Caenorhabditis elegans: one gene and its partners. The protein of the gene in region 1 purifies or fractionates together with the protein of each later gene. This does not show direct contact. Each region holds a gene or a part of one and is shown in the gene's direction. Other genes may lie near its edges.

Region 1 (4,136 bases):
CCATCACTTGTTCTACAACCGGAACAATTTTCCCGTCTTCTGCGAAACGAGATAACTGACTCATCAGATCCGAACTTGGTCTGAAGAAGGCGTATGAAAACCAACGACCTCGTAAGTGGCTCTGAAAAATATATTGTTATAGTTGCGGGTACATATTTCAAAAATTACTTGGAAAGATCTTTCAAAATGCTTCATCGCAGTCGTTACAAGACCTAACGGAACTCCATTTTTATCCATTTCTCTCATCAAAGGGGAGACAATTGATACGTGGACACAATTACGCCATACTCCCATAACCTGAAGTAGTTTTATACATTAATTTCCACTTCTCAATTATATTTACATTATCACTCCACTTTGCTAGCTGGGAATCGACAGTATCAAGAATAACTTCAAATGGTGCATGCTCAATCAATTCCTGAGTCGCCTGGTCTGATGTGTAGTCGACTGGAATTGCACCAAGTTGCTTCACAATATCGAAACTACAATTTTTATTTGAAAAATTGCAAAGATATAGATAATCTAACCTGCCCTTTGCACACGTTGCCACTATCTTTTCACATCCCCATGCTTTCAATAGCTGGATTGCCATACTTCCAACTCCTCCGGCTCCTCCATGAATCAAAACTCTTTGTTGTTTGGCATTTCGTTGTGAGACCCTGGCTATTGTAAAAGCTGAGTAGGCTGTCGATGCGACGTAAGGAAGTGCGGCAGCTGATACAAAGCTCAAATTGCTGGGCTTTTTAGAGCAATACTTCGAATCAGTGACAACAAACTCGGCATGTGTGCCTGGAAGAATTACAGGAACAACAGCCATAACCTGAAAACATACGATATTTAATCATGAATCGATGCATAATAGGATTTCGTTACCTCATCACCGGGAGCTAAATTGTGCACATCGCCACCAACAGATTCTACAACAGCTGTACAATCTCTTCCTGGAATTAGAGGGAATCTAGACGCGGCTGCATCACAGGACTCTATTTTTTTCCACGTCCCTAGGAATTCTCTACCGTATCCTTGAGACATGTCAACATCGATCGGATTAACAGACGCTGCCTACAAATATTTAAATTGCTTGAATCAAGAAATATTAATCTCACTTTAACTTTTAGAAGGACTTGTCCTGGTTTGTTTATGACTGGAAGCGGCACTTCTTTGAGCTCAACTCCAGATCCGTTTTCAGAGACCCATGCACGCATCGTTGATGATTTTGTTGAGAAAAATCTTCGTAGAATCATTTTTTCGATCATTTTGCTGAAAATTTCATGTGGAAATAACTTTTTTCTGATAAAAACAAATAAAACTGCACGAAGACTTCAAGTGTCGTAAAATTAAATGCCTTCTGTGTGGTTCACCGCGACGCTAAATTGCACAAATCATCCTTTTCAAAATTTCTCGTTCTTTTGGATTCTTTATCATTTACTGAAGGCTAAAAAGCTTATTATTGTTTTTTTTTAAGTTTATATTCAAAATTTTTTATCTTGAGAACTCATTAAAGATATTTTGAAGATAGTAACACAAATTTTAAACTTTTTTAAATAATATTTAGCTAGCCAAAACAGATTTTGTGGACGGAACGTAAACCTAATAGTAAGCTAAATACTGACGTAACCTTTGGGCCATCGTGAAATTATCAAGTCAAACTTTCTTTTATTCTAATCATTATTTCTCGTGATAAACACTTTCTCTCATTGTCACTCGCTCAATACACATTAGCGTTCGTTTAATTTTTTGAACTAAATATTCTCATTTACACCGCATTGTGTTACTGATTTTATTTTATTGTCCAGAACTTTGACTTTGCGTTATTCTCTGGAACTACTTTTCAGATCTCACCAGAAGCAATTACAACTAATTTTCAGGCCCCAGAAGCAGTACAATGTCGCAAACACCACCGCCAAAAGACGGAAAAAACCCAGAGGCAATGGAGGTGGAGGATGCTATTGATGAGGAGATTCTGAAAATGTCGACGGAAGATCTCAAAAGCCGTACCCACTTGTTGGACAACGAGATTCGTATTATGAGAAGTGAAGTTCAACGTATCAATCATTCTGCAACCACTCTCAAAGAACGGATCAAGGAGAATACTGAACGTATCAAAGTTAACAAAACTCTTCCGTACTTGGTGTCCAACGTTGTCGAACTTCTTGATCTCGAGGATAATACAGAAGAAGAAGGCGCAAATGTTGATCTCGATGCCCAAAAAACCAAGTGCGCAGTCATTAAGACTTCCACTCGTGCCACATATTTCTTACCAGTTGTTGGACTTGTCGATCCAGATGAGTTGAAGCCAGGAGATCTCGTTGGTGTCAATAAGGATTCATATTTGATTCTTGAAAAATTACCAGCAGAATATGATTCTCGTGTGAAGGCTATGGAAGTTGACGAACGGCCAACTGAACAATATTCCGATATCGGAGGATGTGACAAGCAAATTCAGGAGCTGATTGAAGCTGTTGTGCTTCCAATGACTCACAAGGATCGATTTGTTAATTTGGGTATTCATCCTCCAAAGGGTGTGCTCATGTATGGACCACCAGGTAAGATTACGAAAAATTTTTGATAAAGTAGTACTCCTAGAAAATAACCATTTTAATTACAACAGCTCAAGTGTAAATTATTCGTTTTTCAGGAACTGGTAAAACGATGATGGCCCGTGCGGTTGCTGCCCAAACTAAATCAACATTCTTGAAGCTCGCAGGCCCACAACTTGTTCAGATGTTCATTGGAGATGGAGCCAAGCTTGTTCGTGATGCTTTTGCTCTTGCTAAGGAAAAGGCTCCAGCTATTATTTTCATTGATGAGTTGGATGCCATTGGTACGAAGCGATTCGATTCAGAGAAAGCTGGAGATCGTGAAGTGCAACGTACCATGTTGGAACTTCTTAATCAACTTGATGGCTTCCAACCAAATGATGATATCAAGGTAAGCTGAGTTCCATTTTAAGTTATATTTTTAAGACGGTATAAGCTGTAAATATGAATTTAAGGTCATTGCTGCAACGAACCGTATCGATGTGCTCGATCCCGCTCTTCTTCGTTCTGGTCGTCTCGATCGTAAAATTGAGCTTCCCCATCCGAACGAGGATGCCCGTGCCAGAATCATGCAGATTCATTCCAGGAAGATGAATGTCAAGTATGTTTTCGCGACAGTTTTATTTGTAAAATTTAGTCTAATTAATTTTTTTCAGCAAGGATGTAAACTTTGAAGAACTGGCCCGCTGTACCGATGACTTCAACGGAGCACAATGCAAAGCGGTTTGTGTTGAAGCTGGAATGATTGCTCTTCGACGAGATGCTACTGAGATTCTTCATGAAGACTTTATGGATGCTATTCTGGAGGTCCAGGCAAAGAAAAAGGCGTCCCTCAATTACTACGCTTAATCCTTCACTCCCGGTTGTCACTGTGTTCCCTTTGAATCGCTCCCGAATTTTCTCACGCGATTTTTTCTTACTTTCATCTTTCGTATTCTATTCCCACCCCTCTCCTGTTTTTATTGATTCATCCTCGAAGTGCGTGGATTCCTAATTTATTTCCGATCAATGTGCATAAATGGTCACTCTTCGAAATGTGTTTCTTTCACTGTTTCAACATTCTGCGTGCTCTTCAAACATTTAGCGAGACATCTCAAATTGTAACTTGACCGATCCAGAAGTCAGTACTGACGTCAGTGAAACGTATGCAGAGAAAAGCTAAAGTGCAATCGCGCCCCAGTGCCAAATGGAAACGCTCCGCCTCTTTCATTTGGGTCTCGTTAGATAGAAAGTATTTTCTTTTTTGAAAATATTTATCAATTGAAATATCTTTACAATTACTGTTATCAATTTCATTATTGAATAATGCGAAGTGTATCAGATAATTATTTAGTAGTTGCACATGAAATTGGGGATCCTGTAAGCATCGAATCTTCGGAACCAACACCTCTTTTGAACCACTCTCCATCGATGCAGAAAAGTTCGGAAAGTATAAAGGGATTTTTCTCGAGCTGTAAATATTTGTATTTCATTGATTATCTTTCTGAAATAATTTTAATCTTACAGGTGGTGTATCTGTTACCAATTCTTTTGTCTTATGACTATATGCTACTACTTTTGATTGCGGAGGACACAAAGCAGAAATTGCATTACAAT
Region 2 (3,490 bases), on another chromosome or scaffold:
TGTAAGTTTAATATTACTCGGATTTTTGTTGAATTCAAACAGTTATGCCCCTTTAAAAAAATATTGTAGCTTCAAGACTTTTCTGGATTTTCATCAATTTTTTTCATTTTTTTCATTTTTGAAAAACACCAAGAAATAATAATATAAACTTTATTTAAAGGCGCATACCTATTTGCATTTAACAAAACTTTATTGTGGTGAGACCAAGCAAAGTACTGTCTGCGCAAAATAGGTTACTGTAACTGTTCCCTCATAGAATCCATGAATTTCAGTGCTCGTCAAGGATATCAAAACACTGGATCGCAAAGAATTCCTGAATGACAGCGTCATGGCATTTATGCTGAATTATATTGCATTTATGCTTTCGTCCGAGCTGTAAGTTTCATTAAACATCATTGGATTTTAAAAATTATAATTTAATTACAGAATGAAATCCGTGCATATGTGCAACACGTTCTTATTCGTCAATCTGACTCGCCTACTTCCACCATTGTGCTTCTCCAAAAGACGACCAATCGAACCAGAACACATAAAAATCGTGAAAGACAATTGCCCTCGAGTTCTCCGTTGGACACGAAAATTCGATGTTCTTGCCAAAGATTATATTATCATTCCGATCAACGAAGATCTTCACTGGCTCGTCATCGCTGTTATCAATCCATCGGGTGCAATTGTCGATATGTCGAATGAGGAAGCTTCCAGAGCTGCTCCGAAGTGTTATATTGTATTCTTCGATCCGTTGAGTGGTCTCGATCCAAGCAAGAAGAATCATATGTGTCACTGCATCAAGATTTATTTGGCTCAATTGTATGAAAACACTAAGGCTCCTGGAATGAAATTTGCGTCGAAGAATCCAACGATTTACGATGAGGAGAGAGTTGTCGTGACTCGTGCTGAAAACACTCCAATCCAAGACAACTTTTATGATTGTGGACTTTATGTATTGCATTTCATTGAAGGGCTCTTCTGTTATCCGAACCGTCCGGTCAATGTGAACGTAAGTAAATCTTCATGAAACATCACAATAAATAAACACTTTTAATTCAGGATTTTCCAAACTTTGACTGGTCAAAGTTCTTCCCGGAGGCCAATAAAATGTGTGACTTGATGCGAGACAAAGTTTACAATTTGATTCTTCAACAAGCGGATAAACCTGCGAGAAGCCGTCTCGCCAAGTTCGAAAGGGAGAACAAATGTGGATTGTCGCGTGAAGGAGCTCTTAGGAAAGCACGTCGTCATAGTGCAGTGAATGAACGTCGTACGAAACGGCACAGAGACTATTATGCACGTCACTATTCCTTGAGCCCGCCACACCGAAATGTGATGAACGATGATCCGACGTTCATGAATCCACGTGGATTGGCGGAAATGCCAATAACTCGACTTGTTCGTCGCCTCAGAATTCCGGAGGATAACTTCCCAATCGCTTACTAGGCATTTTGATCAAAAATTTGTCTCCCCTCTCAAAAATTGCCGGTATTTTCTTCTCTTAGTTAATTTATTTTTTAAAGATTTTATTATCCTCCCATTTTTACGCTCTCTCCTTATTTCTGCGTTCTCCGTCATAAAGTGACAATTGTTATTTTTTCTTTATAACTTGATCACTCAATTTAATATTTTCAGTTGATCTCCACTCTTTTTTCCTCCTTTTATTAAAATTTCAATATTCTGTTCCATCAATTTTCCTTTTGTACACCCATTTCACATCTCCGCAACGGTTTCTAAATTTTCTATTTGACTTCAGATTGTTTTCTTACCGTGTATGCGTTTTTCCGTCGATAAATTCGCGTTTTTAATTAATTTTTTTCATGTTCTGTCTGAAGAAAATGGTCGATTTCCATAGGTTCTCTTCAGCAACCCTGGCACGCTATTAGTCTCCGCCCACTTTTCCCTGCCGCAGTTTCCTATTTGTAAGCAAAATGTCCGCCAAACGATTGAAACGCTCATTTCACTTCATTGTTTCTCTGTTTTATTAAATTTCCAGACATTCTCACACTCTCTTTCAATTTCAGATATATCTCTTCGTCTTAAAGACCAGAAAAACACTCAAAAATGTCGATTATGAGCTACACTGGTGGAACCGTCGTCGCCATGGCTGGAGACGAGTAAGTTTTAAATTTCATGGTTGAAATATTATTTTATTCTTATCTTTTCAGATGTGTGTGCATTGCTTCGGATCTTCGTATTGGAGAGCAGATGACAACAATTGCAACTGATCAGAAGAAAGTGCATAAGGTGACAGACAAGGTCTACGTAGGACTTGCTGGATTCCAATCCGATGCTCGCACAGTCTTGGAGAAAATTATGTTCCGCAAGAATTTGTATGAGCTCCGTGAGAATCGCAACATCAAGCCACAAGTGTTGTCCGAGATGATCTCGAATCTGGCTTATCAGCACCGCTTTGGCAGTTATTTCACCGAGCCACTCGTTGCTGGTTTGGACGACACCAACAAGCCATATATCTGCTGCATGGACACTATCGGATGTGTATCTGCTCCACGCGATTTCGTTGCTGTCGGAACGGGACAAGAGTACTTGCTTGGAGTTTGTGAAAGTGAGTTTTTTGAATTTTGTTTAACGTTCAATTTAAATACTTTTTACAGACTTCTGGCGCGAGAACATGAAGCCGGATGAGCTCTTCGAGGCTACTGCTCAGTCGATTCTTTCTTGCTTGGAGCGTGATGCTGCATCAGGTTGGGGAGCAGTCGTGTACACAATCACTAAGGATAAGGTTAACGTCTCAACTATCAAGGCTCGTATGGATTGAGAAATTTTCCCCGTTCCCAACATTAAGTGTATACAATTTAATCTAATTTATTTGTTTCTCTTTTCCCTGTCTCATCCCCACACCCCAGACCGACCGGTTACCGTATTTTTCAACTTTTAAATTCTTTTGTGTTGGTTCTTCAATATCGAGAATACATTTATCACCCATTATGACTTGTAAATGTTTTATCTTTAGTCTCCCGAAGTTTATGGCAACAATTCTACGAACAAAAAAAATACTACACAGATCCTAAGAATTAGAAAAATTTCACAATTAAATCATGCTTATAGACATCTGGATTCAGCAGGGTCAATGCTTGATGCAACATTACACCAGAAAGCCCCCAAACTCGCTGGGTGGAATGAAGATACTCGTTCGGAGCATTGTGATGGACCTGAAAAACTTAACATTTTTTCGGAAATTATTTAAAAAATAAACCTTGAACTCCGTGGAATCGAACGAAGGCAGTGTGTACTTCATTCTCTTGCTTTGGAATTTAGTTAGTCCGGCTTTTTTGATAAGTTCATCAATTGGAATCGTGAAAACAGCTTGTACTTCATCAGAGTTGACCACCAGATTCTCGAGAACTCGCTCATCGGAAATGTATCCAACAATCGGAGTAACATTGAAATCCGCTTGCCGTCTTATCACACTTTTCAAATGACCCCAGATTTCCACACTTTCAGCGTTAACCCCGATTTCTTCAAACGTTTCACGGAGAGC
Region 3 (4,994 bases), on another chromosome or scaffold:
TATCAGTCATCTTCACAGATGGTGTTGGAAAGAATGGATCAACTGTTGCTGGAACATCAGTTCTCTTCCCAGCCTGCCCACTTCTTGCAGTCATTGTTCCATATTGTATGATCTACAGCAAATCGGCATCTGGCGTCTATGATGATCTTATTGTTATATTTGTTCTTCAATTTGGAGCCGTTGCGGCAAAAGCCACAAATCGTCTGATTGTTGCACACATGAGCAGAAGTGAGCTCTCACTTTGGGATTGGATCTACATGGGGCCAATCGCATTGATGATCAATCAATACTACGACATCAAAATCAATGAGCCAACTCTTCTGAAGTACACGACTGTTTACGTTTATGCATCACTTTTAGTCTACTGTTTATTCATAACGCGCCAAATTTGCGACCATATGGGCATTTATTGTTTCAAAGTCACTGCACCAAGAGCTGGAAGTAGCAAGTAATTTCGATTGTATAATTAAATATGGCTTTTCACCTATAGTAATTTGTAATTTTAATTGTAAATGCGGGTGTTTATGAGCGGAAAAGGAATGTTTTGAAGTGCAACGCGTAATGCGTCGCGGTCTCAATTTCTTATCACAACCACAGATCAATCACTTTTCATCTTTTTTTTTGTCTCATCGTCTAAACCTTCAAGAATTCTAACGACTACGTAATTCTAAATAACTGAATGAGCAAATTGGGGAGAAAATTACATTTTCGTTGCGAGACCTTTCGTTTTTGAGCGTCCTGTGCCTTTGAAGAGATTACTGTATGGAAATATTGGTTTAACTTTTTTTTCAGAGTTTGCGGATATAATTTTTCTTTTTTTTCGTATCTATTTAATCGAAATTTAGAAAACAACTATTGTTATAATGATACTGTGGTCCAATTGTTAAGGCGAATAACTTGAAAATAGTTCCAAACGAACATAAATTTTCCGCTCAAACCTCGCAAATCATATTTTTCCTATCTAATAGAGTAACTTCGCTTCCACATTAGTTTATCAAATTTCGCTTGATGACAGACGTGTAACCTTTTCTCCCCGCTACCTAGATAGACGTAAACCTACACAACTTCTGCCACACAAAATTCACTCTCTCACATTCACTCCTCGCTGTATAAAATTCTCGGTTCAATAGGGCGAAGCTGCAACGCGGCGATGATTTCTAGTCGCACGACCGGCGGTTCCTGGTTTTTGCGACCGCCACGGCCACGCTCTCTCTATCTGCTCTCTGCTCTCGGCGCGCTGTCTCTCGCTAGCCTGCCGACGTTTCTCCTTGTCAATCGAACCACTTCTATTCGTTGTAGAATGCCGTGCAGTGCGCTCTCTTCCACATCTTCCGCTTTTTCCAACAACTTCTGTGAGCTTTTTTACCACATCTCTCTCCCCCCGTTTAGTCACAGGAATTACTCGTTTTTTTGTCTCGTTTACCTTTACTTTGATTTTTTCCTTTACAAAAGTTCTTGTAAATTGAATGATAAATTGATTTATATTCCAATTCTCGTTGAATATTTATAAGGGTTCAAGTTTATCCGATTAAACATTGCCCTGCCACTTTATATCTATTCTTTGTATTTTATATTTTGCATTATTGCTCGAATTAATGAGTTTTCCTACTTCTAAACCTAAAAATTCCATTGTCTTTTCGGTCTTCTTGTTGAAAAACGAGGTTTATTTTGATTTTCTTTTCGATTTCCATATAGCTTTCTAAATTCATTCATTCCAGGAAAAGATGGCCGCAGAATCTTCGTACGGATTCGTTTACGGAGTGTCCGGACCTGTCGTCACAGCCGAGAAGATGGCTGGATCGGCTATGTACGAGTTGGTTCGTGTAGGACATCAAGAGCTCGTCGGAGAGATTATTCGTCTCGAGGGTGACTACGCCACTATTCAAGTATACGAGGAAACATCTGGAGTCACAATCGGAGATCCAGTACTTCGTACCGGTAAACCACTTTCCGTCGAACTTGGACCAGGTATCATGGGATCGATTTTCGACGGAATTCAGCGTCCACTCAAGGATATTGCTGATATTACTCAATCCATCTACATTCCAAAGGGAGTCTCCACTAATGCTCTTTCTCGTGAAGCTCGCTGGGACTTCGTTGTGTCCAAGGATCTCCGTGTTGGAGGACACGTGACCGGAGGTGACATCATTGGAACCGTCGATGAGAACTTGCTCATCAAGCACAAGATTCTTCTACCACCAAGTGCATGCGGAACCATCACCTTCGTTGCTCCATCCGGGCAATACACAGTTGAGGACACCCTTCTCGAGCTCGAATTCGCCGGACGCAAGCAGAAATTCTCTATGCTCCAAATCTGGCCTGTCAGATCTCCAAGACCAGTCACAGAGAAGCTCGCTGCCAACAATCCACTTCTCTGCGGACAGCGTGTTCTCGACGCCTTGTTCCCATGTGTCCAAGGAGGAACCACCGCCATTCCAGGAGCTTTCGGATGTGGAAAGACTGTCATTTCCCAATCTCTCTCCAAATACTCCAACTCTGATGCTATTATTTACGTCGGATGCGGAGAGCGTGGAAACGAAATGTCTGAGGTAATTTTTTTGAAAATAATTTTAAAAACATTAGAAAAAATCAAATAAACAAGAAAGCCTTTCCATAATTTCGTTTTTGGAATCAATAGTTTTAATTTTTCAAAAAAAAATTGTGAAAAAGTTTAGTCAGAATAGTTTCGTTTAAGAATAAAATTTAGAAAACAATTAAAAATTAAAAGGTTTATGTTTCTTACTTTTTCCAATGTTTTGTCCCGCATTTAAATTATAAATTAACAATTTTGCCCCTATTTTTTACAATTCTAATTTTTTCTGTTTTTCAGGTACTCCGTGATTTCCCAGAGCTCACCATGGAGGTCGAAGGTGTCACCACTTCCATCATGAAGCGTACAGCTCTTGTCGCCAACACTTCCAACATGCCTGTCGCTGCTCGTGAAGCTTCCATCTACACTGGTATCACCCTTGCCGAATATTTCCGTGACATGGGTCTCAACGTTGCCATGATGGCTGACTCTACCTCTCGTTGGGCCGAAGCTCTTCGTGAGATTTCTGGTGAGTTTTAATCCGTTTAAAATATACTCATATTTGAAATTCATATTTTTTTCTTAATATTTTTGAAATTTCTCTGAACATTTTCAAATTTTCTTTTCAGGACGTCTCGGAGAAATGCCCGCCGATTCCGGATACCCAGCTTACCTTGCCGCTCGTCTCGCTTCCTTCTACGAACGTGCCGGACGTGTTAAGTGTCTCGGATCTCCAGAACGTGAAGGATCCGTCACCATTGTCGGAGCCGTATCACCACCAGGAGGAGATTTCGCCGATCCAGTCACATCCGCCACCCTCGGTATCGTACAGGTGTTCTGGGGACTTGACAAGAAGCTTGCTCAACGTAAACATTTCCCATCTATTAACTGGCTTATTTCCTACTCCGAGTACATGCGTGCTCTTGAGGAGTTCTACGAGAAGAACTACCCAGAGTTCGTCTCACTCCGTACCAAGTGCAAGGAGATCCTCCAGGAAGAAGAAGATCTTTCCGAAATTGTGCAACTCGTCGGAAAAGCTTCCCTCGCCGAATCAGACAAGGTCACACTTGAGGTTGCCAAGATCATCAAGGACGATTTCTTGCAACAGAACGGATACACCAAATACGATCGTTTCTGCCCATTCTACAAGACTGTCGGTATGCTCAAGAATATGATTGGATTCTATGACTTGGCCCGTCATGCTGTTGAAGCAACTGCTCAATCTGATAACAAGATCACATGGAACGTCATCAAGGATAGCATGGGAGATTTGATCTACCAGCTTTCTGCCATGAAATTCAAGGATCCAGTTGCCGATGGTGAAGCCAAGATTCGCAAGGATTACGAAGATTTGGCAGAGGCTATGGCTAACGCTTTCAGAAACCTCGAGGATTAAATTAATGTTTTTAGAAATTTTAAAATTGATTCTCTTGTTTGTTTCTGTTTTCGCCTCCCCGCTAGATTCTGTTCAGTTTTGCTGAGCGTGTACTTTTTAGTTAAAAGTATATGTTTTTCCTTGATCCCCTCACCCAATTCGCCTCCTTTCTCTACTTTTATCCTCTTTAAAGTGTTTGATTGATTTGACATTCCAAATTTCAGATATTTATTGCACCTTTTTTCTCTTTTGTAGATTTCTAAACTTCAAAAAATTCCAACCACACACAATGTATCTGGTCGCCTTACAACTCCCGTTTTAAACAACAATTTCACTTATATTAATCAATATTTTTGGTATTCTTCTTGTTGAATAGACTACTTTACTTGTGCCCTTCCATTTCTTTTTTTGCGACAACCAACCCGTATAGTCTTACGAACCACGTTTTACTGTGTTGTGATATGTATAATACTTTTGAGACACACCAATTCAACTATAGCAATAAACTTTAGGAAAATCACAAATATCTCGCACGCAGGTCTCGTTTTCAAAATGGAATTGGATTCGGTGAAGCAGCAACAACAGCAGAACGCTTGCTGTGAATATATTCTACCAATTAAGAAGCGACGGTGTAAGATGCTGGTGAAAAAGGGAAATCGGTTCTGTGGAGAGCATTCAATTCACGATCAGAATAACACTGATCGTATGGTTTGCCCGAATGATGGAAAACATACGATTCTGAAGGCAGATCTAGAGATTCATCTGACAAGGTGTAATTCTAGAATCAGAGATGCAGAATATATCAAAATTGATGCAAATTCTATTCGTGGCGAGACCAAACGCACCGATAAAATTGATCGAAGAGCCACTGAAGATGAGATTTGTACCACTGTGCACAAGATCTGGAAGTGCTATGAGACGGATGTAATGGATCGTTTGATTGTTGAGCAACAAAGAAATGAGCTCGTCGAGCAAAATATCGCACAAAATTCAGATCTGAACAACACGAAAAAGAAGCAATTATACCAGATTTCGTCTATTTTAGGTTTTATAAAATGCATTTCCATTTTAATAATTTTCTTTTCAGGT
Region 4 (3,634 bases), on another chromosome or scaffold:
CTGACTGAAAAACTTAATTTTAATGAAAATAAGGTCATTTTTATTTAAAATTCCTTACCATCCACCTCCAGATTGCGAGTCACCACGGAACCCATATGGCGGTGGCTTGGAGTAGTCGTCATATGGTGGAGGAGCACTTGGATAACCACCTGGACCACCACCTCCTCCGCCGGATCCTGGGCCTCCAGGACCTCCTGATCCACCAGAAGTGTAGCCAGAGCTTTCTGGGTTCTGATTTCTGTTAGTCCACATCGCGTAGATAATGTAGGCGATGAAGGCGACGACGACGAACGTGGCGAACTGATCCCATCGATCCTGGGATGACTTTCGAGAAACTGATCTGTTACCGCTCGCAGAATTGTACTCGAGCTCATACTCCAACCCGCAAGATCCTCTCAGGATGTATGGATCCTCTGCGTAATCGTATCCTTCACATGAAACACTGATCTGAAACAAGAAACATTTTTTGAAGCGAGATGGAAATATTTAAAAAACTAACGGATCCGAATTCCATATCATGTGGCAAATCTGCATCACATCTCCACTGCACATCCGAACCATCAAAACCTTGATTTGCACACTGAACCACCTTTGGGGTGAAGGCACCTTTCGCGGATCCACCGACACACTTCAACTGGAAGGTTGGAGAAACTCGTCGTCCTGTCGTCATTTTTCCTTTGTGTAGAGTAATTGCTGATACATCGCGAAGAAGAACTTTGTCAGAGGCCGCTGAAATTCATTTGTATTATTGAAACAAATAATCAAAAGAAAAACTTACCAGAAGTTTCGAAGAATACCACTGTGAACACCAGAAGCATCCATAAAAGGAAACTCGTTGTAAATCGAGAGATCATCTGAAAAAAGAAACTAACAATTAGGAATTTTGAACGAGTAATCAATAGAAAGTAGTATGAACATTGAAATAGTACCGGAAGATAAGAACGAAGCACCAGAGATTAATTTTGAAGCGTTGCAGTGAAAGGGAGAAAAGATGATAATGAAGAAAACGAATGATAGGATATGTGACGTGTAACAACACGGAATTTTCAGAAATTTCGAAATACTTGGATCATTTTTTTGCAAATCAAGAAAAAAGATAATACGAGAATAAGCGAGGAAAATCTATTGGATGGACACAATTTTACAGCAACGCCTTTGTTTGACATAATTTTTATTCAGAGTTGCGATTTTTATCAGATTTCGCTATAAACCAAGAAGAAAACACACAAATCTGGAAGGAAAACCTGAAAAGCTGTGTTGCCAGCTGGCGGATAAATCGAGAAGGGTGTTCGCACTTTAAAAACAATATCTTCTGTTAAAAAACAATAAAATAAATTAAGAAAAATAAATTGTTGCAAGCGCGCCCTATCGCATATGTTGAAGAGACTGTAGACGCAGACATATGGCCGTGACCGAAAACATTGTCTTTCGCGTCTCGATATTTCCAAAGTGAAAGGCCATGCGCCTTTAATTGCTGACAAATAAAATTCAAAAAAAGTTTTTTGTTTTGATTTTTGTGAGAGCGCGCTCGCCAAAAATGTTCATTTTAGCTATTCGAAATCCATTTTTGTTTTGATTGCTCCTACTCCTTCATTTTCTTTCTTCTTCACTCATTTCTCGTCTCAATTTTTAATGTATCGAGAATTTCTCAGGATGACTGCTCAAGACTACCTCAACGGAAAGCTGGCGGCTGCCAATGGACCTCTGGCCGATGACTGGAAGAATCTCAAGGAGCTCTGGGAGAAAAAGTAAGAATCAATTGTTTTTGTAGACACAAACTATTTCACTAATTTTCAGGCTCTGGCATCAACTAACGGTTCTGACACGATCCCTTGTGAAGAAGCCACAATTTGTGGCTTCAACGGACATGCACGAATTCTACAGACTGTTCGTGGCGGAGTGGGAGCTGCGTGTCAACCCTCTTCAGCTCGTCGAGATTTGCATTTCGATCGCCCAAAATATCGCGACAAAGGACAAGCAAAAATCTATGGAATTCCTGTCAAAAATTGGAAACGTCATCAACAAGGACAAGATTGCCGTTGCTCGACTTCATACCGGAGAGATTGAAGCCAGACTGGAGAACAAGGACAAAAATGGACAGATTATTGATCTGAAGAGCATTCGAACTCAAATCGATTCGACACAACACGAAGTGGACTCACTTGTCGGAGTTACAGAAGTTCATGCCCCGTTCTACCGCGTCTCATCTTTATATCTTCGTGAAGTTGGAGACTTCGCTGGATATTATCGCGAAGCTCTTCGTTATCTTGGAGTTGAGGACGCCAATAATCTGACAACAGAACAGAAGCAAGTCCATGCGGTTCTTCTCGGTTTCGCTGCTCTTCTGGGAGAAAACGTGCACAACTTCGGAGAATTGGTTTGTTGAAACTCTCAATTTAAATTCCCCCAATAAACGGTTTTTTCAGCTTGCTCACCCCATCCTCAAATCGCTCGAAGGAACTCGTGAACGCTGGATCGTGGACGTGCTTCTTGCCTTCAATTCGGGAGATTTGACGCGCTTCTTCTCGCTCGAAGGAGATTGGGGAGGCTGGGACGATTTGAAGAAGCAAAAGGATTTCCTGACTGCCAAAATCCGTCTGATGGCTGTCATGGAACTTGCAGTCTCTCGTCCAACCAAAGCCAGAAGCGTTTCATTCAAAGAAATCGCCACGAAGTGCCAGATCCCATTCGACGAAGTTGAGTTCTTGGTGATGAAGGCGTTGAGCAAGGATCTCATTCGTGGAGATATCAATCAAGTTGAGCAAGTTGTCTACGTGACATGGGTGCAGCCAAGAGTTTTAGATAATCCTCAGGTATAAGAATTGATTATAAGTTTTTAAAATACTTATTTTCTTTTTTTCAGATAATGCAAATGGCGACTCGCATTTCCGCATGGAGGAACGATGTCAACTCCATGGAAGGAATCGTCAGCAAAGAGGCACGCGAGATTCTCACTCAAAATTAAATCATCTCATTTCTTTAATTTATTTTCTCCATGCTCCCCCATCCCAATCCCGGAATCCTCTATTTTTATAATTACACTGCTACGTGTATTCTACAATTTCAAGATCGTTCAGTCTTCTTTCTGTGTGTATTTATTTGAATTCATAAATTAATCGACTGTGAATATATTGAATTTTCTCGATGTCAGATGTGACTAACACCGTGTCAATAGTTCACTAGTACTTTTCAATACTTAACATTCGGGTTCTCTTCGTCTTCGAGTAATGTAGTACTGTGATTGTTCCAGCCATGGTTGATCTTTCAAAAAACGACGGAGGCAGTGGAAAAGCCGGAAAAGGTGTGAGTGATGCCATCGATACAGTCCTCTACTACGTTGTTGATCTGAAAAAGCAGCAGCCGATGGTCCAGCTGGGTGTTGGTGCTGGATTCGGGACAGTGACTGGATATTTTGTCACCAAGGTATTTAAAATTGGTGGTTCTAGAGAAATATTTAATTTTTAAATATTTTCAGGGAGGACGTCTTGTTGCTGCCACAGTGGGAATCTCTTTCCTGTTGGCTCAATTCGCTATTCACAAAGGATACATCACGCTGAACGAATCAAAAATCGAACGAGACATGAAAAATCTACACAAGTCCGTCATGAACAAGTAAGCTTGAATTTTACGAAAA

The links.
Region 2: the proteins of rpt-5 (region 1) and pbs-3 fractionate together in Caenorhabditis elegans (co-fractionation; one large-scale study listed by BioGRID). This does not show direct contact.
Region 3: the proteins of rpt-5 (region 1) and vha-13 fractionate together in Caenorhabditis elegans (co-fractionation; one large-scale study listed by BioGRID). This does not show direct contact.
Region 4: the proteins of rpt-5 (region 1) and rpn-9 fractionate together in Caenorhabditis elegans (co-fractionation; one large-scale study listed by BioGRID). This does not show direct contact.

Annotation. Positions count from the first base shown.
Region 1 is NC_003279.8:5,741,304-5,745,439, reverse strand, and holds rpt-5 (26S protease regulatory subunit 6A), read left to right. Parts: upstream 1-1,868; 5' UTR 1,869-1,885; coding exon 1,886-2,546; intron 2,547-2,638; coding exon 2,639-2,931; intron 2,932-2,995; coding exon 2,996-3,141; intron 3,142-3,196; coding exon 3,197-3,389; 3' UTR 3,390-3,572; downstream 3,573-4,136. Other genes in the region: rad-8 (Reticulon-4-interacting protein 1, mitochondrial), read right to left, coding at 1-121, 169-297, 344-482, 528-820, 874-1,062, 1,107-1,256. UniProt on the Caenorhabditis elegans protein: Component of the 26S proteasome, a multiprotein complex involved in the ATP-dependent degradation of ubiquitinated proteins.
Region 2 is NC_003280.10:4,953,950-4,957,439, reverse strand, and holds pbs-3 (Proteasome subunit beta type-3), read left to right. Parts: upstream 1-2,012; 5' UTR 2,013-2,052; coding exon 2,053-2,105; intron 2,106-2,156; coding exon 2,157-2,554; intron 2,555-2,603; coding exon 2,604-2,767; 3' UTR 2,768-2,960; downstream 2,961-3,490. Other genes in the region: ulp-2 (Ubiquitin-like protease 2), read left to right, coding at 1-1, 273-375, 427-997, 1,048-1,434; ndx-3 (Nudix hydrolase 3), read right to left, coding at 3,024-3,161, 3,206-3,490. UniProt on the Caenorhabditis elegans protein: Non-catalytic component of the proteasome, a multicatalytic proteinase complex which is characterized by its ability to cleave peptides with Arg, Phe, Tyr, Leu, and Glu adjacent to the leaving group at neutral or slightly basic pH.
Region 3 is NC_003283.11:14,349,993-14,354,986, forward strand, and holds vha-13 (V-type proton ATPase catalytic subunit A), read left to right. Parts: upstream 1-1,716; 5' UTR 1,717-1,724; coding exon 1,725-2,549; intron 2,550-2,830; coding exon 2,831-3,059; intron 3,060-3,159; coding exon 3,160-3,926; 3' UTR 3,927-4,430; downstream 4,431-4,994. Other genes in the region: cept-2 (diacylglycerol cholinephosphotransferase), read left to right, coding at 1-452; Y49A3A.3 (tRNA:m(4)X modification enzyme TRM13), read left to right, coding at 4,458-4,950, 4,993-4,994. UniProt on the Caenorhabditis elegans protein: Catalytic subunit of the V1 complex of vacuolar(H+)-ATPase (V-ATPase), a multisubunit enzyme composed of a peripheral complex (V1) that hydrolyzes ATP and a membrane integral complex (V0) that translocates protons.
Region 4 is NC_003280.10:11,236,938-11,240,571, reverse strand, and holds rpn-9 (26S proteasome non-ATPase regulatory subunit 13), read left to right. Parts: upstream 1-1,652; 5' UTR 1,653-1,653; coding exon 1,654-1,748; intron 1,749-1,797; coding exon 1,798-2,377; intron 2,378-2,426; coding exon 2,427-2,813; intron 2,814-2,863; coding exon 2,864-2,965; 3' UTR 2,966-3,125; downstream 3,126-3,634. Other genes in the region: T06D8.9 (Store-operated calcium entry-associated regulatory factor), read right to left, coding at 1-4, 59-447, 500-729, 779-854; FUN14 domain-containing protein fndc-1, read left to right, coding at 3,253-3,423, 3,476-3,612.